Rhinolophus ferrumequinum: one gene and its partners. The protein of the gene in region 3 binds, or shares a complex with, the protein of the main gene of each other region. Links are inferred from orthologs where the notes say so. Each region holds a gene or a part of one and is shown on either strand. Other genes may lie near its edges.

The links. Proteins that work in one complex are often made in the same cells at the same time.
Region 1: the proteins of CRHR2 (region 3) and UCN are in contact, whole or in part, in a cryo-EM structure (PDB 7TS0), measured with the Homo sapiens proteins. The link is inferred for Rhinolophus ferrumequinum from reciprocal best matches to the Homo sapiens genes CRHR2 and UCN. Residues at the interface, in NP_001874.2 of Homo sapiens: Phe68, Asn69, Gly70, Val71, Tyr73, Ile101, Leu102, Asp103, Asp104, Arg107, Asp110, Tyr113, Leu117, Asn120, Trp166, Leu169, Gln170, Val172, Asp173, His174, His177, Glu178, Thr188, Phe191, Asn192, Phe199, Phe256, Gly257, Lys258, Asp265; in NP_003344.1 of Homo sapiens: Asn84, Pro85, Ser86, Leu87, Ser88, Ile89, Asp90, Leu91, Thr92, Phe93, His94, Leu95, Leu96, Arg97, Thr98, Leu99, Leu100, Leu102, Arg104, Thr105, Ser107, Gln108, Arg111, Ala112, Asn115, Phe119.
Region 2: the proteins of CRHR2 (region 3) and GNA11 are in contact, whole or in part, in a cryo-EM structure (PDB 7TRY), measured with the Homo sapiens proteins. The link is inferred for Rhinolophus ferrumequinum from reciprocal best matches to the Homo sapiens genes CRHR2 and GNA11. Residues at the interface, in NP_001874.2 of Homo sapiens: Arg148, Tyr208, Leu209, Ala212, Ile213, Thr216, Glu220, Lys293, Lys307, Ala311, Phe358, Tyr359, Phe362, Asn363; in NP_002058.2 of Homo sapiens: Arg37, Ile348, Leu349, Asn352, Leu353, Glu355, Tyr356, Asn357, Leu358.

Annotation. Positions count from the first base shown.
Region 1 is NC_046296.1:53,378,863-53,386,466, reverse strand, and holds UCN (urocortin), read right to left. Parts: upstream 2,982-7,604; 5' UTR 1,864-2,981; intron 1,600-1,863; 5' UTR 1,587-1,599; coding exon 1,203-1,586; 3' UTR 897-1,202; downstream 1-896. Other genes in the region: TRIM54 (tripartite motif-containing protein 54), read left to right, coding at 1-9, 115-207, 521-531; protein Mpv17, read right to left, coding at 3,650-3,719, 4,673-4,725, 4,987-5,019, 5,266-5,361, 5,449-5,541, 5,741-5,856. UniProt on the Homo sapiens protein: Acts in vitro to stimulate the secretion of adrenocorticotropic hormone (ACTH). Binds with high affinity to CRF receptor types 1, 2-alpha, and 2-beta. Plays a role in the establishment of normal hearing thresholds.
Region 2 is NC_046301.1:60,158,079-60,165,789, forward strand, and holds the start of GNA11 (guanine nucleotide-binding protein subunit alpha-11), read right to left. Parts: upstream 3,397-7,711; 5' UTR 3,354-3,396; coding exon 3,218-3,353; intron 1-3,217. UniProt on the Homo sapiens protein: Guanine nucleotide-binding proteins (G proteins) function as transducers downstream of G protein-coupled receptors (GPCRs) in numerous signaling cascades.
Region 3 is NC_046303.1:11,768,826-11,777,098, reverse strand, and holds the start of CRHR2 (corticotropin-releasing factor receptor 2), read right to left. Parts: upstream 3,277-8,273; 5' UTR 3,242-3,276; coding exon 3,155-3,241; intron 1-3,154. UniProt on the Homo sapiens protein: G-protein coupled receptor for CRH (corticotropin-releasing factor), UCN (urocortin), UCN2 and UCN3. Has high affinity for UCN.

The DNA.
Region 1 (7,604 bases), on a different chromosome or scaffold from region 3:
TCCAGCCAGGTGAGGGAGCCAGGAAGGGAGAGGACCCTCCGGGTGGGGGCAGGGTAAGGCATGGCGCCCAACCAGCAGGAGACTCTACCTCAAGGGGGTCTTCCTTGGGCCCAGGAGCTTCCGGGGAGGAAGAGGATGAGGACATGGCGATGGACGGGGAGGAAGGCAACGCAGGGACAGAGGAAGAGCGGCTGGATGGGCCGGAAGGTGAGTGTATTGCGAGGGCCATCGCGGCCTGACTGGTCCTCGGGTGATCGCCCTCCCTGCGGGACCAGGGCTCGCTTGCAGACCCTGCTTTCAAATGCTTCCCAACCCCCAGCAGAAGCGGAGCGCCCCCTAGCGCGGGTGCAAAAGGACACTTTCTTTCGCGTCAGCCATTCCTTCGGGGCTTTGGGCAAGCAGGGTGGGTGGGGAAGTAGAGGAGACACCCACGTGGCTGGGGAAAGGGGGTGCGCTGGGTTTCGGAGTTGCCTTGTTTCCTTGGAGCACCCGCCCACCGCGCTTTTTTTCCTGGGGACAGGCCTGCACTGACCCTCCCCCTGTGGGGGACTTCGCGCTCTGGGGGCCTGGCGCTCGGGTAGTGGAGGATCTGCGCAGAGACCACCGCGCCCCTCAGCTCGGCGCCCCGCCGCTGGGGAGGGCTCAATAAAGGGCTCATGCATCCCGACCCGCAGCTCCTTTCACTGCTCACTGTGTGTCTCAGCTTCTGAGGCGACCCTGTCACCAGTCCGCCCTTCTCCGGATCTGGGACCAGCTGGGAGGCGGAAGTGAATGGAACCCCTGTTGGGAACCTCCTTGATATTAGGCTTGGATTCCTGAGCCAGTGCCAAAGGCAAAGAGTAAGGGGTGGTGCGGCAGGATCAGGACTTGAGTTCCGGGGGACTTGGGGATGATAGGGACACAGGACCCTGGCTGAACGCCACTCTCCAGGGTGCTCCTCCTGCAGCACTGGTTCCCTCCCACCGACCTAGGAGGCCCCACATTCCTAGGGGTTCCCACCCTGCTGTGGAAAGTTCCCGGCGCCCCCACAACAGAGACCAAAGGCTCTCCGGAACTTTTATTAAACACTAGTAACGCAGAGCGTGCTCAGGGTATCCCTGGGCAGCTCTAGCCCCGCGGGACTGGGTCAGTTCCAGTTGCGCAGGTCCCAGCTCCGGGTTGGGGGTGAGGGTCGAGGTTTTCCGCGCCCCAGACCCCGCCGATCACTTGCCCACCGAGTCGAGTATGACGCGGTTCTGCTCTGCGCGCTCGCGCTCTCTCTGCGTCCGTGCCTCCTCCAGCAGGGTCCGCAGGATATGGAAGGTGAGGTCAATGGACAGCGGAGGGTCGTCCCGTCGCGGCCGCTCTCCTGTGGTCACAGATCCCCATCGGCCTGGCCCCGCGCGGCGCGGGAAACGCTCCGCCAGCAGCAAGAGGAGCGCGCGGGCCTCCCTGCCTTGGTTCCGCGCTCCGGGACTCCAGCGCAGACTCGGGTCCTGGACCCCGGCCGCCGCCTCCTGCTCCGGGCTCCACTGGCTGCTCCCCGGGCGCAGATGTGCCAGGAGCAGCAGCGCCGCCAGCAACGCCGCACGTCCCGCCAGCCTCATGGTGCCACCAGCCCTGGACACACAGGAGCAGCGCAGGGTGAGGTGCGCTTGGAACAGTCGCAGGTGGCGCCACTCCCCTTCCCGCGCACATCCAGCGTCCCCGCCGGTCCCCCGTAGCAGCCGCGCTGTGCCCACAACCTTCCCTGCAGTCCCTGCCGTTGCCCAGTGTTGTGCCACCCTTTCCGCCTTCCCTCCCTCCCTCCCTATTAGCGGGTCCCGGCAGGCGAGCGGAGTCCTGTTGTTGAGCGAGGCAGGGCGGACTCTCCGAGCCACTCACAGGTTGCCAGAGAGCGTCTGCACAGGGCAGGAGGGAGGTCCAGTCTGTCCCTCGGGGCGGGCTGAGGACGCCTTGGGAAACACGGGGTCTGTCCCGGGACCGCCGCCAGCCTTATATAGCTCCAGGACAGCTCCGACTGACGTCAGCGAGGAGCATGCACTGATTGTAGAGCAATGACGGTGGCGGCTTCGAGTCCAGCGGGTGGCGGGACCCCGAGGGGCGTGTCTCTGGGGCTTGCGCTAGAAGCGACAGCGGACTCAAGTGAGCGAGAAGCTGGCTGGGGCATGAACATTGCTCTGGAAGCAACGAGTGTCCTTCGCCGGCTTAGAACAGTCAGCAGTGAGCAGGGCCGGTCCCCAGACCAGAAGAGTCCAGATGGCTAGTCTTCTCTGGCACACGGAAGGGTGGTTGGATCGTGGGGCTGACCCTGCCCTCGGCCTCCAGAGGGGCCAGAGGCACTGGGAGGATGCAGTGCTGCTCACACTCGGTCCCTTGCCCGTCACCAGCTCTGTAAACTGAGACAACCAGGAGTGCTCCGCTGGCAGGCCATCCTCACCATGGTACCCACCCAAGCAGCAGCTGAGGCAGGCTAAGTCAACCAGAATCCCTGATCTTATTCCAGTCCCGGGATCTAAATTCTAGGGCTGTCTGATTGAGGCACCATAAAAACGAGGGTTTCTGGCCTCAAGTGCCTTCAGACCACAAAAGGCTGGTCCATCTGCTTCTGTTTGCTCCAAAGTGGTAGTTTAGCCAAGTTCCTTTTTCTCCTGGGAATCACAATAGTATTACTGTATCTTTACCGCCAGGTTAAGATCACTTGGTAGGAAGTAAGGAAACATGGTGCCTTAGTCCATCTGAGCGGCTGTAACAAAAATACCATAGACTGGGTGGCTTATACCCAACAAATATTTATTTCTCACATTTATTTCTCTGGAAGCTGGGAAGTCCAAGATCATGGCCCCAGTAGATGTGGTGTCTGGTGAGGATCTACTTGCTGGTTCATTGATGGCAGCTTCTTGCTGTGTCCTCGCACGGCTGCTTTTATCAGGGCAAGCATCCCACGGGGGCTGTGCTCTCACCCCCTAACCACCAAAGGCCCCAGCTCCCAATGCCATCACCTCAGGTTCTTCGCCATATGAATTTGGGGGGGGGTATTTAAACATTTGATTTATAGCATGTGGGTTCAAGTTTCTACTTTGCCACTAACTCATGGTGTGGACAGGTCACCTTACTTCTAGGGACCTCAGTGTCCTCGTCTGTAAAAGAAGTTTGGGCTTGGTGGTCTCTAGGCTTCTTTCCATTCCCTAGAAATTTTGACTCCCTAGTATTTTTCTGTTGGGTCTTACTGCAGGTTCCAGATTACACATTTATAACATATTTACAAAGGTAACACATAAAGGGTTTGAGGGGGTCCCCAAGGAACTGGAGCTACACTAGGGCTGGAGAGGGTTAGGGAAATAGATGTATTTATGAAAAGCGGGGATGAGTGCACTGGCTGGGATATGGGTATAAAGTAATGTTGACAAGATCATATGGCTGAATAAATATTTATGGGGTGCCTACTATGCGGTGGGCATAAGACCATTATACAAGTTTTAGTAAATTCAAAAGGAGTCAGTTTACATTTTAGAGTGACATGGGCCGTTTCATAGTGCTAATCCCGCTACATTCTGACCAGCAACCCAACCCCGTGAAAGCAATGTGCCCACTTTGAGGAGGAGGTCGGCCGACCATTCCAGGGTCAAGCTGCGTCACTGCAAGGCGGAAGCAATGGAGTGAGGCAGGCTTACAGCTGGTGTGCCTTCCAGGACAGGTAGGAGTTCCAGACAACAGCAACACACTGGACAACAGCCAACCTGAAGAACAGGAATGGCAGCGTGAAAAAGAGGAAGGATGAGGAGAAAGCAAGTGGGGAGAGAGGGGAAAGTGTAATGCAAAAGGAGGCATTATCTCTGAAAACATCCAGATTTACACCTCCTTCAGGAGGGACGCGTGGTTCGGACCAGAGGACACAGCTCAGGTGCTGCTGCTGTCCCGGAGCCTCAGGTGAAATACCCTCAGCAGCCATCTTGCCCTGCAGGGCTGTTACTCATAGTCCTGTCCGGGCTCCTTCTGAATACACGTATCTGTCATCCGTGTACCAGCGGAGAAGCTCTCATCTTCCAGAAACGTACTGTCTGCCATAGAAAGTAACACCTCCTTCTCTTGGTGTTAAATTGACCTTGCTTTAGCTTCTAAGACCGTTACAAGGATTCTAAAGTTTAAAATTTGGTTAAGTCTATATTCCTTTTAGCTATATTCCTTTTAGCTACGCTATTCATGTAAATTTTAACCATGTCCCCTCCGAAGAGTTTTATATTTTTCTGTTTATTTTTCTGTTCTCAAAGCCCCATCACCATCCTAATTTTAACTAGTCATCCTGAGTTCTACTGTTTTTATTGCAGTTTCAGCAATATTACCCTTTATGATTAGCGTAAAATAATATTTTGCAGTGGATGAACCTACCCAGGTTCCTACATGGCTCTTTGAGTGACCTTTCTAACTAGGCTGCAGCCCCCTCCACGCTGTCTGCAGCACAGGTAGGGAGCTCAGGTGGGACAGAGCCAAGGGTTGTGGAGCAGGACCCTCCCGAGGTCAGTGGGCACTCTGCGACAGGTTCTATAATGAACGAGAGGATCTGAATAAAACGCTCAGGAGTCTAGGAGTTCCCGGGGGTCTAAGGTAGCTCAAGATTGAATGAGAATCACTTTATCTACAACTGTTCATAATGTGGCTCTTCCTTGAAGGGTGGGGTAGGGATCTGTCATACCTGTAATGAAGGGGGACCAGGTAGAAGTTGGCTAGCTGCACAGCAGGCCAGAGCTACGAGAGAGAAGGTAAATGTTGGGGGGCTGCCTCCATCACCTGACCCCAGACTCACTGCCTTGCCTGGTCCTCCTCCAACTTCTGTAAACAGAACCAAGCGGAACAAGTGGGGGAGAGCTTCCCTGAGTGTGGTGCCCACACTGGGAATGAGGGGGTCATCCCAACTGAGGGATTTCTAGGTCAGGAGGACCCCCAATCCCTGGGCACTTCTGGACTCAAGGAGGCAGGAGGACAGGCAGCGGAGGTGTCAGCTCTTACATAGTAGTTGGTGACGAGGGCATCAGGATAATCCTGAGGAAACACAGAAGGACCCAATCAGCACTTGCACTTCCAAGCAGCTCCCATGCCCCAGTCTGAATAGCACCCACAGATTTGTTCAGAGAGCACACTCCTGCACTGCACCCCCTCAGCTCCTTTCTTCCAGAGCCCAGGACCCTACCTGTACTTCGGCCTGTGTCACCCCCCTGAAGCCTGCCTCATTCCCCTGGGCGTGCCAGTCTGCCAGCCAGAGGTCTTCCCCACACCTGCCCAGCTCACCCGCCGGAGTTTGGCCCAGTTGTCCTGGGCTGACAGTCCATTGAGTGTCCCTACCAGTGGGAGGAAACAGCCTAGAAAACATGGGGCAAAGCCCCCCTAAGGAAAAGAGATTAAAGAGCTGTAAGCACCTAAGCCCGCCCTCCTCCAGCTCAGCCTTCCCAGCCCCCGTTTCCTCCCGCTCACCTGATCCAACAACATCTTCTTTAGTGCATCCACCTTGGCGGTGCCAGGGACGAGACGGTCTAAAACCCTGTACCAGCCTCCTACCACAGGGCCCTGAAAGCAAACCCCAGGGAGGGGAGCAGGGATGCAGTGAGGGGGACAGTCGGCTTTTACATCACAAAGCCTCTCCCTTGAGTATTAAAAACCAAATTTCAGGGCAAGGTACACTCCAGGTTGGCGTAGATGTAAGAAAGGCCAAGGGAAACAGACCACTGTCCAATCCAGCAGCAGCTCTGCTGTGGGCAGAACTTACCACAAAGCCACATCCCAGACAGACCATGGTCAAGGTCCGGCCAGCCTGGTGTTCCCGCAGACCTCGCCTCTCCACTAGCTGCTGTGAAATGACGTCACCCAGGCCCATCAGGGACCCTGTGCAGGGTACACAGGTGTTGTCAGAACACCTCCCGGGAGGGGCTGCCACTCCAAGGAGGGAGGTAAGCCTGCTGACTGAATGAGTCTCTAGCACTCTGGGCCCGAGGGCTGAATTCTGGGGCAAACGGCCAGTCCCTTGCTGCTGCTTCAAAGCTCTCCTCTCCCAAGGATGGTGACACCCCATGTGTGTCCTGTTAGAAACTGGGATGAGCAGCCTGGAGCAGGCCAGGGCCCAAGGACTCTGTATGGAGCAATGGAGGAGTCAGAAACTGCAGTTGGAGGAAGGACAACTTAAGGTACCAGGGGCTGAGAAGCACGGACTGTCAGAACTGGAAAGGCCTTCCAGATAACTGCACCCACACCCCTTATTTCAGAGGTATGGAAATGAAGGTCTGGGACCTCACATAACCAGTAAGCGACAGAGCCAAGGCACAACCCACGTGGCTTCATTTCCTAGACAGTCTTCTTTCCAGGACACTACACTATGGAGAGGTCATATGTAGGATGGTAAGGAACCCTGGGTTTTCTCCCCCAGCCCAAAGCCAGACCCTGGCCAGGGTCCTTCACCTAGGTCTTCGGGTCTATGGAGAACAGCAAGCATAACTCTTTTTCTGAAATGTGAGTGTTCAAATGGTCCCAGGAAGGAAGCTGACTGGTGGAGCTGGCACGAACGAGTCCCCACAGGGAAGAGTCCTGGCCACCTCTTAGCACAATCAGGTAAACCCAGACACCCCTTCACACCTCAGATTGAGCTGGCAATAGGTATTCCAGCCTTTTCTACCCCAGGCCTTTGCACTTGCTTCCCCTCCCCTCACTTGCACAGATACCCAGCTCTAAGCAGCCCTTGTCAGACTCCCTCATCCAGAAACCAAGACAGAAATCATTATTTACAGAGCCCCCCGTCAGTTCTAGTGGCGTGATGGCTTCTAGCAAATACACACTTATAGGGCCACCTGGGAGTGACCGTATGATCTCCAGCTCGCCTGCAGAGCTCACCTGAGTAATGAGAGTCCCCCACTAGCCCGTAGCCACCACCATCCCTGTGCCCTCAATTAGCGCTGGGCAAACATATCCTTCCACCCCTTTCCTTGGCCGGGAGCTGGCTCTGACGTCCGTACTGGCTGCAGACTCACTGCTCTTCCCCCACACTTCTGCGCAGCCTCCTCAGAGGCAGCTGGGCAAGGCTGAGAGCTGGGGCTGCAGCTGGAGTGGGGGCACCTGTAGGCAACCGAGGCTGCCGGTCTCAGCTGCTGGGACCCCCAGCACAGCCAGCAAGGTAGCCCTGCCTCTCCTGTGCCTGAAACTCCCAAAGTGGTGGAGGTTCTTCCCAGAACAGGGCTAGACACGACCTGCCAGAGGGCAAGGACAGAACCCTGGACAGCTTTGTTCTCTTAGCCCTGCCACAGCTAACCAAGCCCCTGGCAGGTGCTCAGAAAACACACCAAGGAAAAACGTCAAACGTTCTGCCCCAAACAACACGACTACACTGGAAAGGGCATGAAGGACTCCAAGGGGCCCGAAGGCCCGCATGTCAGGCACAGGGTACGAGGACAGTGGAGGTCAAGGCTTGCTCCCCCAGTTAGCACTTCACACCCTATCCCCGCTCCCTGACAACTGGGGTCACCAGGGTCCCCCTTCCCTTTATGCATGGCCACTTCTGCACTCCCAGGCATAAAGGAAGAGTGACCCTGTGGGTGGAGCAGAAAGGCACTCACTTCTTCAATGGAAAGCCCAACAGTCTGACA
Region 2 (7,711 bases), on a different chromosome or scaffold from region 3:
GTGTACTACCATGGGGCAGAGGTTCTCAAACAGCGCTGGTCCCGCACGTAGGGGCCACCGGGCCATTCTCGGACATCTGTGGTCATCAGACGGGTGGGACCAGGGAGGCTGCTCAACAAGACGCCTCCATGGCCAGGACGGCCCCTCACAGAGACTGGCCCGGCCCCAAGGTCCCCAGTGCCGAGGAAGAGACCCTGCCATATGGAAAAGAGAGGCCTCTTTGAGGAGTTAAAAATCAACTTTAAAAAGGGGCATGGCGGGAGCACTGGGGACAGCACAGGGTGCCCACTCGGTGCCCCACTTCGAGGGCCAGAGCCCCGCTCCAGGAGCTCCACAGGTCAGCCACTCTAACCACCAGGATAGGGCATCAACACCCGCGCCAGGCTGGGGGGCCCCACAGGGCACGTGCACACAGCCCCGGGGAGACAGCACATGGACGTGGCAAACTGGGCCAGGGCTTCTCCAGCGATGGTAACTCGCTCCGCCTGAGTCCAAAACCAGGTGCCAAGGCGAGCACCACCAGAACCTCTCAGAAACAGGACTCACACACAATGCCACAGGGTGAGCAGCCCCTTAGCCCACACCACGGGGGGCAGGGGTGGTGGCATTCTCATGCAGCAGAACCAGGTGGCCTACAACTCCCACAGCTGGGAAAGCTGTGTGTCCCTTGATTTTCCCCCTACGAAACGGGGACAGTCCCCATCCAGTGGCTGGCTTGCTAGGGGGTTGGAAAGAGTCCTACCAGCAGGTCAGGCAACAGGCCGAGGGTGCTCAGTAAGGACGCCCTCCCTGCCCTCTCACACCCCACCCTGTCCTCTAGGCATCAAAGTCCTCCCAACACGGTGTCCTCAACCTGGGAGGACAGGCTGCCTGGTGAGAAGTGTTCCCAGGGTTCCCGAAGAAGTCCCGGGCCCAAAGCCCAAGGGATCACTTGTTGAGGCAGCACCTCAAGATCAGCCCCTACCATGCACACCCCCTGGGCCTTCGCCCAGCACTGAGGGCTGCCCTCCTCAGGTCAGAACCCTTCACCTTGGACCTGAGCGCTCACATCCTGTCCTATCTGCTCTCCATGCCTAGGACGCGACCTCCGGACACAGCGCCCAATACCCCGTGGTGCAGGCTGGCAGGGGGCAGACTAGATGCCTCTCTAGGGTTGCACCGCAGGGGAGAAGTGGAACTGCAGACACAGGTGCCCCCGCAGCTGACTCCCCATGCTCCCTGGCGGGCACTGGCTGCTTCCAGATCCCCTGCAGGGCTCTTGGGGGCCTCCCAGCCCAGGGAGACTGCAGACACACAGCAAGGCTGCAGGAGCTTGGGCCACTGACCTGTGTGGCCTTGACCCACACATCAATCTGAAGACTGGACATACTCAGGAGAGGAGGGGGCGCGCTCGGAGGCTCACGCAGCCCCCCAGTAAGACCGGCTGATACCGTTAAGATGCCCCTAATTTCTACCCCCTCCTCCCAAAATAAGCTCTACAGCTCACTGCAAAAACTGTCCAGTGCCACTCAGACCCCATTGCAAGTTTCCTCCAAACTTGATGCTTACTTTCTGCCTGTCTTTTCTGCAAAGATGGACTATTTTATAGACCTTAGGTAAATCAGAATACACGTTTGGAAAAAGAAAATAGAGAAGGAAGGGCGCAGGCAGGAAAAGCAATGTGTTCCAGCCAAAACCCACCATCTCCCAAAAGGCCACCAATGCCACCATCTGCCATCAGACTCAGCACCTCTAAACCCTTTGCTCCTTCTCCAGCCCCAGGCCCATCAAAGCTACCTCTGAGCGGCTTCCATTTCCAACTCTCCCCACAGTATAGGAATGAAAATGAAGCAGGGCTCAGGAGAGGGCACGGCCCAGGTTTCTGTTTTGTAAACGACCTTCTCGCCTTTGACGGCAGAGGTAAGTCCTTCAACAGCCCTTATTTGGGGTAACAACACTTTGCTGATAGCTAGGCCAACTCACTGCGTGCAACAGGTGTGCCCTGAGAAGTGGACTCGAACAGGAATCTTCCCCCAAGTGGAAGGAGGACCCGGGAAAACTGGCTCCCACGAAGGCAGAAGGAAATGATTTGGGGAGTAGAGTTGGCTGGTTCTGAAACCCCACCATGGCCTTCAGCTAAAACAGACTCTAAGAAGAGAGGAAAGGCTATCTTCTCCTCAATGGGGTGTACCCCTTTCTGAGGGAAACAGTTTTCCTGCAGAAGGAGGGTAGGCAGGGGAACAGCCTGAGGGAATGGGGGTGGGTGGGTGGGAGTGGGGCAGGCCCTGTGTGTAGGGAACAGGGCTCCACCTGGTGGGAGTAGTGGAGATGGGATCCTGCGAGGTGAGGGGAGCGTCTGTGGATTACACCCCAAGGTCTGGGCCTGAACAGATGCTGGGGCAGCGAGGGGGACACTCTGTGGGTAAGGGACAGAGGGCCAGCCCTGTGCAGGGAGGGGGACTCAGCCCATGAGAAGGGAGAGAACCTCCAGAGTTCCAGGGGCCCCACCTGGACTGCAGAGGCAGAGGCTGACCCTGCAGCGATCTGGAGACCTGATGTAGACCGCCAAAGCAGGGTACTGACCCTGGAGGGTTCGGGGGCCTGACCTGGACGACAAAGGCAGGGCTCACACCGAAGGAATCGGGGGTCTGCCACAGACAGCACAGGCTGCCTGTGAGGATCCGGTACCGACGTGAGCAGCAGAGGCAGGGGCTGACCCCTAGGGTTTCAGGGACTCAACAAGGACAGCAGAAACAGGGGCTGGCCCTGAAAACACTTTGGACCTCATGTGGACAGCACAAGCAGGGGGCTGACCCCACAGATATCAGGTGGCCTGAAGGTGGACAGCATGGGCAGGGTTGGGCCCCACCGGCCCTGCACAGGCACCTGGCCGACGCTGAGAACGTGGGGCCTTGACCTGGACAGCACAGGCAACAGCTGGCCCCGCAGGGATCAGGGCCCCATTGTGGGCAGTACAGCACCGGCAGGAGCAGACCCTACCTACTGGGGTTCCCAGCAAGCACAGCACAGGCTGGGGCTCAGTCCACGGCCGCAGTCCCACTGTGGACAGCAAGGCAGGAGCTATGGACACCACGGGCCCCGGCTGGCTCCGAAGCCCTGCCCTCGCCGGGGACAGCACGGCCACAGGCATCGCCTGTGGACAGCCCGCAGCGTCGGCCCCGCCCGGCCAGCACGCGCACCGCCGGCCGCGGACCCCGGCAGGCCCGGCCCCACTCACCGAGCAGCAGCAGCTTGAGCTCGCGCCGGGCGTCGCGCTTGTCCCGCCGCAGCTGCTTCTCGATCTCGGCGTTAATCCGCTTGGACTCCTTCACCTCATCGCTGAGGCAACACGCCATCATGGACTCCAGAGTCATCGTCCCGGCCCCGGAGCCCGCCGGCCGCCCCCGCCGCCGCCCCCCGGCCCGGCCCTCGCCCGGAGCCGCCCCGGCCGCACCCGCCTGGCCTTCGGCGCTGGCCCCGGGGGCCGACCGGTTCGCTCGACTGCCTACGAGCGCCGGTCCCGCTCCGCCGCGTACTCCCGCCCGACCACCCTCCGCCCGCGCCGCCGCCGCCGCTAACCGCAGCCGCCGCCGCCAACCGCAGCCTCAGCGACCGAGAGACAGCACCGCACAACCTAACCCGCGCGGGCACAGTGCCGACGGGCGGGCGGCGCGGCCAATGGGAGGGGGCGGTGGCCCGCCCGCCCGTCGCGGGGGCGGGATTAGCGGTCGGGGTGGGCGGGACGTCGCTCGGGCGGGGCGGGGCGGGGCGGGACGAGGCGGGCGCGCCCGCGGGTTAGGTTGCGCCGACGTGGGAAGGGGGACGCGCAGCTGGGAGCCGGGCGGGACCGCCCGGGATTGTGGGAATGTGGCGGACTCGGCCGGCCGGCTCAGCGGCGCTCGGCACCGCTCGGCCCTGCTCGACCCCGCTCGGCCCGGCTCGGCCCCGCTCTGCTCCGCTCCGCCCGGCTCCGCTGAAGAACGGGAGGCAAGGACTGCGCCAATGTCTGGTCGCGGCGCTGGGAGACCCCGGCCCAATGGTGGACACTGGGGTCCTAGCCTTCACGGTTTACCGGGAAGCACCCTGGCATTGCCTAACCGGAAAGAACCTTCCATTCATCTGTTCTTGGGACAAGCATGAATAGAACGCCTCCTGTGTATTGGGCCCGGTGGGCCCCGCATTAATGCAGCGCCTGTTATATGCCACGTATGCAGCAAGCTTTAATGGAGTTCCTACTGTACCAGGCATGGACCAAGCATTAATGCAGCACCTGCTATATACCAGGTGTGGGCCAGGCATGAGTGTAGCACCTGCTATCTAGCTAGGCATGAACCAAACTTGAATGTAATGCCTGATATATACCAAGACAGGGCAAAAACATTATGGAGTGCCTACTGTAAACCAGGCATTAATACAGTGCCTGCTATATTCCAGGCAGCAAACATTAATGAAGTGCCTACTGTATACCAAGCACTGCTTTAAGCCCTTTAAAGCAACCCTATTACCCAGTTGATATTCTTGGGGTATAGCCTCGCCAGTGCATTTACGTATGTATGGAGCTTGGCTGCTTTCACCTTTCACCCACAGACTTGAGTAGTTGGGATAGCTTTAAAATATTTACTATCTGCCTTCTTACTGAAAGAGACCTAGAACGAGGCCCAGACACACAGGAGGTTGCATTCTGAAGAATGGGGGAAAAAATGATAGCCTGACATGTTCCTAGTGCTGGAAGTCCGTTTTACAGCGGAGGAAACCAAAGCGCCATTAAGGACAGTTCCCTGACTACAGCACGTCTCTCAGCCCTGAGCGGGCTGGAACACCCACATCTTCCCCCACCTGGCCCTGCCCAGAGCCCTTCACACGCCTCCCAAGCTGCACCTTAACATGCTGTACTCTCCTGTCTTGAGATAAAGGGTGAGGGGAGGGTCAAAGTCTCCGTTTGTTAGTTGAGGGCAGGAAGATTAGCTCCTTGAAACTATCATCTTGGGGCTTCCATCCCCACCTCGGCCTGGGCAGGAGGCTCCTGGGGTGTCCAACACCGCAAATACAGGAAAGCTTCACTTGAACCAAGAACCTACCAGCAAGGAAACAAAACTGTTGTCCCTCAGGCAGAACCCTCAGGCATTACTGGGGTTCTGGGGCCTCTCCCTCCTCCAGCATCACTCTGGTGTGCCAGGTGCTAGACTGGATAGTGGAATTGGTCACCCATGTGTGTGAATTCCACGTGTGCAGGGAACTTTGTCCATCTTGGTTTCTGTGGCATCCCCAGAGCCTGAAATAGCACCTGGCATACAGTAGGTGCTCGATAAATGTTTGTGAAATCAATGAAGGAACCCAGCTTTCCTGGGTGCTTCTTTTCTTTCTCTGGAGTAAACAATAATAATTGCACCTTCTTCCTTTCTTCCCTTCTCTGTTCCTGGTCTTTGTTGTTGTTGGCCTCTTCCTGATGAAGGTCTTAAATCTCAGGGTCGAATCTTGTTTTTGCTGCTTACTCTGCTGTGCACAGTAGACTAGCGACTTAACTTCTCTGGGCCTATTTCCCCATCTGTAAAGTAGGCATAATATTAGTTTTTTCTCAGCGAGCTACTGTAAATATCCAAGGAGAGAGTTCTTGTGAAGTAACAGTAGAAACTTAATGTTTGTTTATTATTATTTTTGTTAAAATTTATGAAAAGTGATTTTTTAATTATTATTAGTTGCAGGTGTACAAAACAATGTAATAGTTAGACATGTATACCCCTCACAAAGTGATAACCCTCCTCCCCCAATCTACTACCTCTCTGACATTGTATAGAGCTGTTACAGTTCCACTGACTCTATTCCTTATGCTGTACTCCACATCCTGTGACTATATATATATTAAATTATATTTGACATTCAGTATTATTCAGCTTCAGCTTCAGGTGTACACTGCAGTGGTCAGGCACCTACACTGTCCATGAAGTGGTCTCCCCAATGAGACAAGTGTCCATCTGACACCCTACAAAGCCTTTACAACACTATTGATTATATTCCCCAAACTGTCTTTCATATCCGTGTGGCAATATTGTAGTTACCAATTTACACTGTCTAATCCCTTCCTCATCCCCACCCCCTTCCCATCTAGCAACCATCATTTTTTCCTGTATATCTGAGACTATTTGTATTTACTTTGCTCATTTATTCAGTTCTTTAGACTCCACAAATAAGTGAGATTATATGGTATTTGTCTTTCTCCGTCTGACTTATTTCACTTAGCATAATGTTCTCTAGGTCCATCTATATTGTTGCAAATGGTACAATTTCATTCTTCCTTATGGCTGCGTAATACTCCATTGTATAAATGTACCACAGTTTCTTAATCCAGTCATCTACCGATGGGCATTTCGATTGTTTCCAAGTCTTGGCTATCGTGTATAGTGCTGCAATAAACATAGGGGTGCATAGATTTTTTCAAATTAGTGTCTTAGATTTCTCTGGAAAGATACCTAAGAGTGGAATTGCTGGGTCATAAGGTAGTTCCATTTCCAGTTTTTTGAGATACCTGATTTCCAAAGTGGCTGCACCAATCTGCAATTCCATCAAGAGTGCATCAGGATTCCCTTTTCTCCACAGCCTCTCCAGCACTTGTTTGTTGATTTATTGATGATAGCCATTTTGACTGGAGTGAGGTGGTATCTCATTATGATTTTTCTGCTGTGTTTTTTTTTTTAACTTTTATTTATTTTAAGTGTATTTTTCCAGCATCCATCAGCTCCACATCAAGTAGTTGTTTCAACCTAGTTGTGGAGGATGCAGCTCACAGTGGCCCATGTGGGGGTCGAACTGGCAAACTTGTTGTTCAGAGCACTGCACTCCAACCAACTGAGCTAACCAGACGCCCCTCATTGTGGTTTTTGTTTGCATTTCTCTAATGATTAGTGACGTTGAGCATTTTTGCATATGTCTGTTGGCCATCTGTATGTCCTCTTTAGAGAAATGTCTCTTCATGTCCTCTGCCCATTTTTTAATTGTGTTTGTTTTTTTGGTGTTGAGTTGAATGAGTGTTTTATAAATTTTGGATATTAACTCCTTATCAGATGTATCATTGACAAATATCTTCTCCCATTCAGTGGGCTGCCTTTTTATTTTATTGATGGTCTCCTTTGCTGTGAAAAAACTTTTAAGTTTAATGTAATCCCATATGTTTAATTTTTCTTTTACTTCCCTTGCCCGAGGGGATATATAAGAAAAAATATTACTCGGTAATGTTTGCAAATTTACTCCCTATATTTTTTCTAGGAGTTTTATGGTTTCAGGTGTTACATTTAAGTCTTTAATCCATTTTGAATTTGTAATGCTTGCTTAATTATTGAAATACTAGGGGACAGTGGTAAATAACTTCTAGGATTGTCCCCAGTGAGCCCTGCTGCCCTGGTATTCATGGGCTGTGTACTTTGTCCTGTCTAGGATGTGGGTTGAATTTAGTGTTACACTTCGAACAAATAGGATATGACAGATGTGACTTCAGAGATTAGGTTATGAAATGTCTTTGGCTTCTGCCTTGGGCTCCCTTTGCTCACTGTAATAGCGATCTTTACAGAAGTCAAGACTATCCTCCTGGACAGCCATGAGGAGTAGAGAGGCCTCCCACCAGCCGCCTGTCAGGGAGCCATCCTGGAAGGGACACCTCCAGCCCCCCATGGAGCCATCAGATGAGACAGCCCCAGCCAGCAGCTTGACTGCAGACTCCTGAGAGACCCTAAACCAGAAA
Region 3 (8,273 bases):
TAAAATAGATAACGTAGGGGCGGCCGGTTAGCTCAGCTGGTTAGAGCGCGGTGCTCTTAACAACAAGGTTGCCGGTTCGATCCCCACATGGGCCACTGTGGGCTGCGCCCTCCACAACTAGATTGAAACAACTACTTGACTTGGAGCTCATGGGTCCTGGAAAAACACACTTAAAATAAAAGTTTTTTAAAAATAGGTAATGTATGTCAGTGCTGAGAACAGCACTGAGCACATGGTAAGCCCTATGTACCTGCTAAATGCAATAAACAAAATAAGCTTATTGAATAATCGATCCTTCCCCCTGGTAGATTCGAAGTGACATCTTAAAAAATTCTCATTTTGAATAAAGTAACTTCAGACCCACTGGCTGAGGATTCCTAAGAATGTTGAAAATTAGATAAAGTGGAAAATGACAGTTAAGAGGACTACAGAATAGTTCCCTAATTCATAAAGTGCTGCAAATTTGAGATTTACCAGGAATACAGAATTAAGTAAGCAGTGCCCTCAGACAAATTGCTTTAAAAATAAAATACTTAAACATCAACAAAATGGCAAAAGCAGAGAGGAAAACTTAGCTGATCAGGTTACAAAACACTCAGAAAGTAGTTGAATTTTGGGGAAGTCATTAGATGAATGAGCTCCTGTCAAATGGCCCTTGAGACCTGCCACCTCCTACCCTGGCGCTGCAGACCCGGGGAGTGTGTGTACAGGGCCCTGGTCTTGGCCTTGGGGAGGGCTGTGCAGGTTAGTAAGGGTCCAGGTTCCTGGAGCCTGGGCCCTTGGGGGACTTCTCAGGACAGATGACTCCCACAGAAATCAGGACACTTGTGGCAAGAAGCCACAGAAATGCTGTCCTGAGACCCTGGGGAGGGGAAGCGTCGTGCTCCCCAAAGGTCTGAGGGGCTATACCCAGCCAGATGGGCTGGCTGGTAGATTCCGGGGTCTTCACAGAGCCGGACGGAAGTAGCTCAAAAGGTTAGAATCCAGGCTTTGGAATCCAGCATCCATATTCCTTAGCCTCACCCGATCTCCTTTTCTAGCTGTGTAAATGACTGTCTAACTTTCCTGGTACTTTAGTAAAGCGCAGAGCTCAGTGCGTGTGTAGCAGGTAGGCTGCACAATTACAGCACTGCCTCTCAAAGGGCTCAGAGGGCGCCCTGGAAGGCCGGTCTCCAGGCTGGACCAGGCTCCTCCCCACTCACCCACCAGCTGGGACGTTCCCAACTGCAAATCAGACCAGCTAGCTGAGCTCTGGGGCCAGAAGACCACGGGTAGGTTCCCCTCTCGCTGGTTACATCCTGAGTGACTTTGGGTGAGTAATTAGTCTCTAGTATCAGGCTGAGGTGTTCCAGGGGGCCAGGGGTAGGGCCTGGGTGACTCTAAGGGGACCACAGACTGTTGCCTGAGAGGTTTTGGTTCTGACACCCCCAGAACCCAGGGGACCCTCGCAAAGATCCCTCCACCTGGCCTGGCTCTGGAGCAGCAACCAGAACCCTCTCCATGTAACCAGCTTGGGCAGCTGGCATCATGCCCTCCCCCAGATGGGCGGGCTGTGAGGCAACTGAGGCCCTAACACTGGCTGTCTTAGAAGTCACCTATCTCAAGAACCAGCAGGAGGGGGCAAAAAGAACTCAAAGCCCAGGATTTGGGGAGTTGTAGAGAGTGGGGGTGGTAGTGAACCCACCGCACACCTCCACCCACCGCACACCTCCACCCACCCCAGATACAGCCTGCGATGTCATTTAAAGGACCTCGCAGGTCTAGAGGCCGTCTGCCCATTGGGGCACTGAGCACATCTCAGCATGGTGCCCATCCGTCTCCACCTGACCAGACCCCCTGGGCGGGCAGGGCCCCTGGTGTCTTCATGCTCCACCTCTAGTGGCTGGCACAAAACCATGGCTGCATTACTGAGTGCTCACTCTGTGCCAGGCATGGCGCTCAGAGCTCTACTTGTGTCATCTCATCTATTCCACACTGATCTCATCCTCATTTTACCCAGGAGGAAACTGGGGCTCGAAAATTTGAGTCACCTGTCCAAGGTCACACACGAAGCGGCAAAGCAGAGATTCGAATCAGGTCTGTCAGCAAAGCCACTTTGTCACAGCCAGTGGATGCTCACTGCTTATCTGTTGAGTGTTGAGTGAAAGTCCGCCATGGTCCTCTGTACATAGGGACGTCGAGGCCCAGGAAGTGGTCCCTGCGGCTGGTCTGTGGTGCAGTCCTGGACAGGACTAGGCCTCCTGACTTCCAGCCTGACTCTGGCCCCCGCGGTGTGTGGCCTCTGAGGCCCTCTCTGCACTCTGAACCATTTTAATGTCAGGGCTTTTCATGAAAAGTGTGGCCTTGCACAGGTTGCCTGTCTTCTCTGAGCCTCAATTTCCTTATCTGAAAAATGGGGACGGGGTTAAAGGGTGATTCCTCCTGCATCTGAGAATCTGTTTCTGGGAATCACGCCCGCCTGGCCTAACCCCACTTCTTCAGCTCTTTCTTTATAGCCCCTCTCCATCCTCTTATCCCCAGGTCCCACCTGCAGACCTTGACGCTGGCCAAAACCCACCGACAGCTTTGAGAGACCCTTGGTGAGGTTGGTCCTCCCAGCGCTTCCACTGTCCCATTGCTCATTTGGTTCTGGGGACTGTCTGGTTTCAGGCACTAAGAGGAGGGTGGGGACAGGGCCACAGGAGATGGGGGCTTTTAGGGGAAAGGCCAGAACTGGGGTGAGGAGAAAAAGGGATTTGAGGCTCCTGCAAGGAGAGATGGAAGGGATCCATGGGGGAGGGGACAGAATGGACGGGGGATAACGAATTTCTGGAAGTGAGGAGGGTCATGTCGCGACGCTAGTTCAGCCAGAAGCCCCCATCGTCCATGCGGCCTCTCAGTCCCGTTCTAGCTGCTATTAGAGTTTCATCTCTCCCTCACCTGCCCCCTCGTCCAGGCAGAAGAGCTCCCTCCCATGATCTCACACAGGGGTCCCCAACCCCAACCTGCCAGCAAAGGCCCAGAGACTTCCCCCACCCCACTCATAAGAGGGCTGAGGGAAACTGGGTCCAGGAAAGGAACACCGAGACCCCCTCCCGTCCCCCAGTCACGACAGCGCGGAGCTCCAGCTCCCGGCGCCGGGACTCGGAGACCCGACCGCACTGCCCACACTTACTCTGAGGAGTCGAGGGAGGAGGCAGAGCAGACAGAGGAGCGGGAGTGGAGAGCGGAGGACGCGCGGGGCCCCAGCGGGAGCCCCCATGCCCGCGCGGCTGGGGACAGAAGCGCGCCTCTCAGCGCCGACGTCCCTCCCTGCCTGCCCCTCCCCCGGGCCAGAGCGTGTAGCGCCCCCCCTCCATCCCCCGCCCCGGCCCAGCACCGAGGCCAAGGCCAGGCCCTGGGCATGGGGGTATTCTCCCTTGGCCCCCACCCCCAGGGCAGGCAGCCGTGACACCGCCGCCCAGTCGGCCTCCTCCGGGTTATTTATAGCGGGTGCTGGGCAGCCGCTTCTTCCCTGGCAGCCAGGGACCAAGGTCTGCCTCCAGCTTGCAGAGAAGGGGTTAATGCCTTTTATCTGCCACCACCTTAGCCTCAGCTATAGCCACCTGCGGTGGGGGGAGGGGAGAGAAAAAGAGATAGGGAGGAGGGGGCCTCAGCTGAGGTTGTGGCCTCAGTGCCCAGTGGGCTGGGGGCGTCTCACCCTGATCAGGCTTCCCAGAACCGCCCGCATCTTCTAATTGTCAGGGGAGCTTTCACCAGGCTCCGATGCCAGTTTGGACCTTTGGAAGTTGAATGTAGATGCAGATTAAATAATAGCACTACTGTATCAGTGTTCAACTTCCTGATTTGATAACTTGCGCTGTGGGTAGGTAAGAGCTGTTCTTAGGAACCATGTTTAGGACCACAGGGGCACCGTGTTTCCAACAATTTTAAATGGTTCAGAAATACGGCAATATCTATTTCTATCTGTCTGTCTGTCTATCTATCTATCTATCTATCTATCTATCTAGAGAACCATAAAGCAGATGGGTCAACATGTAAATAATCAGTAAAGGAGGGCAACGGGTTTATGGGTATATGGGTATACGACGGGTCATTCTTCCAACTTTCCTATAAATTTGAAATGAAATGCTAAAAAATGTTTTAAACCCCTAAACACTGAGGACAGCACATTCAGCAAGTGCAGATTCGGATTATGGAGGCTGGCACTGGCCCAGGCATTGGAGGGTTTCAGTCAGTTGCCCAGGGATCCTAATGTCGGGCAGGGCTGAGCAGCGTTGGTCCCGGGTGGGGACAGGTCTGGCCTGGGGCCGGGTCAGGGCTCAGGACGGGAGGCCTGCGCTGAGGGAGCCCCTGAAGTAGCCTCTGGACCTGTTCCCACAGGTGGGCCTGGTGCAGGGAGTTTCAGAGCTTAAGCAGCAGCTCCAGTTGTCAGGATCTGAGGGAAAAGCATTTGAAGAATGTGATTAGCGGGGCACCGCGATTTTCCTGCAGCGTGCAGACAGGGTGCACACAGGCCCTAGAGAACGCAGCCTGGGTTCCAGAAACTCAGACACTATGTTCATGCTGATCTCCCTGCCCGGGAACCTTCTCTCCTCCCCTTCTCTCCTCCCCTTCACCCCTTCCTCCAGGCAGCCTTCCTTGAGTGCTCCCACATCACCCTCCCCTGAAATCTCACTGGCCTGAGTCTGAGGCCCTGGCTGTTCCCTAACTGTCACTTGGATAAGGCTGGTCTCCAGTCAGCTTGGGCAGAACCCAGTCTCCCCCCGTCCTTTTTTTATTTCTTTTCCCCTTCCTCCTCTGTTGCATAGAGCCTAGCCCCAGTGGGGTCATTATGGGAAAAGCTGTGGAAGAGGTGACTGGATCTCCTCATTCATTAGAAAGTGACGGAGTGGAACCCCTTCCCAGGAGCCGGCACAGGATATGGTTTTACTGGACCTGGTCAGGTGGTCTTGGTCAGAGAGGACTCCTGGCAGGAGACAACCCCTTGGCAGGGCTTTGACGGGCGGGTAGATTCAGGAGGAGAGTTGATGGGTCATTATGAGGTCCCACAGTTCTCTTCAGCATGTCTTCCAGGAGTATCCCCCTGGCCAGCCTCTCAATGTTAAGCAGAGAGCAGAGGCTCTGACCTCAAGGTCAACCTCAGCCTATGGAGGCTGTGCGAGCCACCGGAAGAGAGGTGAAGCCCATGAGATCTGGGCATGAGTAACTGCAACGGGCAGTGAGAGATAGTACAAGGTGGGGGGGCAGCTCAGGGCAGGGCGGCAGGGGATTTGGGGAGGGGAGGACAGTACTGCAGGATTTAAACAGAGGGAGAAGGGGAGAACTTCACTCCAGATGGAGGAGTCAGGGTGGGCAGGAGCAGGGCAAGTGCAGGCTGGCTCGACTGGGGGCCCGGTTGGGGAGGGGCCAGTGTAGGGCTAGGCGGTCGGGGACAGGCTGGAAGGGAGCTTGGTTTGCTCTGGCTCTAAAGGGCCTGTGGCGCAGGCACATAGGTAATTGGCCTGATTCCTTCCTGGCAGGGCTCTTCTTGTGCTTCCAAATTCATTCCCTCGCCTCTGCCCCCACAGCCTGGAACACTCTTAGGAGGAGCATCCTTGGACAGCTAGAGCCACAATTTGCCTGGAGGTGGGGATGCCCAGGTACCCCAACCCCAGCTCCCAACGGCATGCTTAGCCGTTGACTGGAGGTGGAAGAAGTCCAGGTGTCATTAACACTCATGGGGTCCAGGAGGCTGGGACTTTGCCTGCGTCTCACTGCCGGGGACTTCTTGCTTTGCCCCCTCTCTCACCAGCATCTCCTGGGAATACTTCCTTTACAAGTCACAGCAGGTGACTCCTCATCTCCTCCCTGGGGAACCTGACCTCAGGTTCAGGGCAGGGAAGTCTGGACTTGACCCCTCTAAACGTAATAGTGAAAAACAAACAATAACAATAATAAAAAGCACACAAGACCCTTGAATTCCCGTGGTATCCTCTGGTAGCCTTTGTTGCCTTTCACAGGCTGCTGGTGGTAGAAGAAACCCTGCCAACAACTGTGAGCTGGCAGGCTAATACCAACTGTCATTTAGAAGTTTAAGCCTATTTATTTTTGAAAACGCCTTCATAGCCATTGTGATTATGAAAGATCAACCTGAGATGGCCTTAGAAGGGAAATGCGCGGTTTGCTTTGCAAAGAGGTGGAAACGCCTAGATTTTGCTTGGCATCCAAGATGGAGAAGGGGTGGGAGGGCTTGGGTCTGGGCTGGGGGGTGTCCCTGGTACTCAGAAAAGGACTGCAGGGCAGGCCAGGTGCAAGGAGGGGTGGCTGGAAGGGCTTCCTTGAAGTGTGAGTGGTCAGGGCATGTTCGCCAGGGGCTGGTGATAACCTTGGCCATCCCCATCTTCACAAGAGACTAGTCCCCTGTGTACAGCAGCTGCTGTCATGCTGCTCGGGAATGAGGACGAGGTGCTGTGCCACCTGTGGATAAAGGGTTGGAGAGGGGTTGGCAGCTGTAGGAGTGAGGAGGGAGTGCTGGACATTTCTTGGTTTTGTCCAGAATGATCCTGTCCTTCTGAGAAACGCTCCATCCTTTACTCCACTGTTTCTTAGTTTGTTTGTTTTTTGTCATTTGCACCTCCTCCTTCCCCAAGGAGCCTTTTTAGATCTTTTCCTAATTGCTCCCCCCTTATGAAATTGTCATACCTCAGATGTATAGCGTATCTATGGGAGGCCACAAACTATTGTAATATCCAAGACTCTTCCGCCCCCCAAGACCTGCTTTATGCCTCCTTGGGGGCACTGTCGTCCCCTTGAGAGGGCCTGCTCTACTCCCAACGTGATTTTGATTGGCAGTGGGCCACTGTGGATTGGCCCAATGCAATCGGCCAGGCTGGATAAATGAGAGGGCCTCCCACCACTGACCACAGTTGGTCGGTACAGAAAGGGCCAGCTGATCTGAATGGATGCGATCAGCATCCTCCCCTGGGATTTTTAAATTTTGCATCAAAGAAAGAGACTATTCCTTCCTTTTGGAGAAACTGAGAGATGCTACGTGCAGCAGCTGCGTGGCTGTTCGGAAATCTGAGCTGAGGGAATGAGCTGCCACACTCCAGAGGCAAGAAAGGGAGAGAGGGAGAGCGAAGGTCCTGGTGGCCTTCCAGGCACTGGGGAAGCCAGCTTTGCCTCTGCCCCCAGGGAGGGAGCTCTCCAACAAATCTTCCCTGATCCCCGAGACAGTCTGGGTTTCTGTTGCTTACTACCCTAGGAATTCTGACCTAGAAGGGATCAGGAATTGCACAGGAGTAGAATTCCGAGTAAAAGGCAACCAGGAAAGTGGAAGATACTCCATCCCCATGTTTCGGAATCGGAACTGTTGGGGAGAGCCCAGACTTTCTGTACATCTAGTGGGCTGGGCAGTCGGGTCAGTGTAGGTTGCTTGGGAGGACTGGGTTTCTTAGGGACACTTGGGTTGCGTGTCTCTCTGAGCAAGGGAGGGACCAGGCTGGGTCTGCACTCTGCAAGGCTTGCTCCAGCAGCAGGGCAGTTTGGGGTTGGAGATGACAAGTTCAGCAGTAAGGAGAGAGCAACGTGGGCCAGTCCAGCAGCGCAGGTGAGAGAGAAGACGGTATCTCAGTCCAGAGTGGGGTCTGTCCTGCTGTGCGGGGCCCCCACACTGATCCGATCTCTCATCTGGGGCTGGGACTGTTCAGATGAGGTTGCCTGGGGTCCCTGCCCCTCCCCCCTGAGCTTATGGCCCGGTGACATCTTGTCCCCCAGATGTATGAGGCTATCTCCTTATTTTAGCTGTGGTCACACCAATTTAGTCTCAGATGGCAGAGTATGCTTTTGCGATGCCATTTCAGAACACAATTTCATAGCATTGTTGGAAGAACAGCTATTGATTTTCCTCATTTTTTCTTTCTTTCTGTGGGTTCGGTGGGATGTTACTTTGGTCTCTCTCTCTCTCTCTCTCTCTCTCTCTCTCTCTCTCTCTCTCTCTCTCTCTCTTTCTCCTCCAAAATCCTGCATCAGGGATGCCAATTCCAAGTATGAGTTATGATCAGCTCTGTTGTCACTCGTCTCTAAAGAAAAACAAGTCACTGTGTTTGACTAATAGGGACTAAGTCCGCTCTGGCAGAGTTTGTACCTGCTCTTGAAGGAGCCTTGAACTTCGCACCTGGAGAATAGCTGGAGGGCTTGTATTTTCCGGTGGAGTTCACGCGCCAAGGGCTGAGTGGCATTCGGACCTGACTCTGGTTGTCATGTCTGGTTTCACAGCTGTCCCCTGTCTCCTGTGCAGGCTGCTCCCAGGA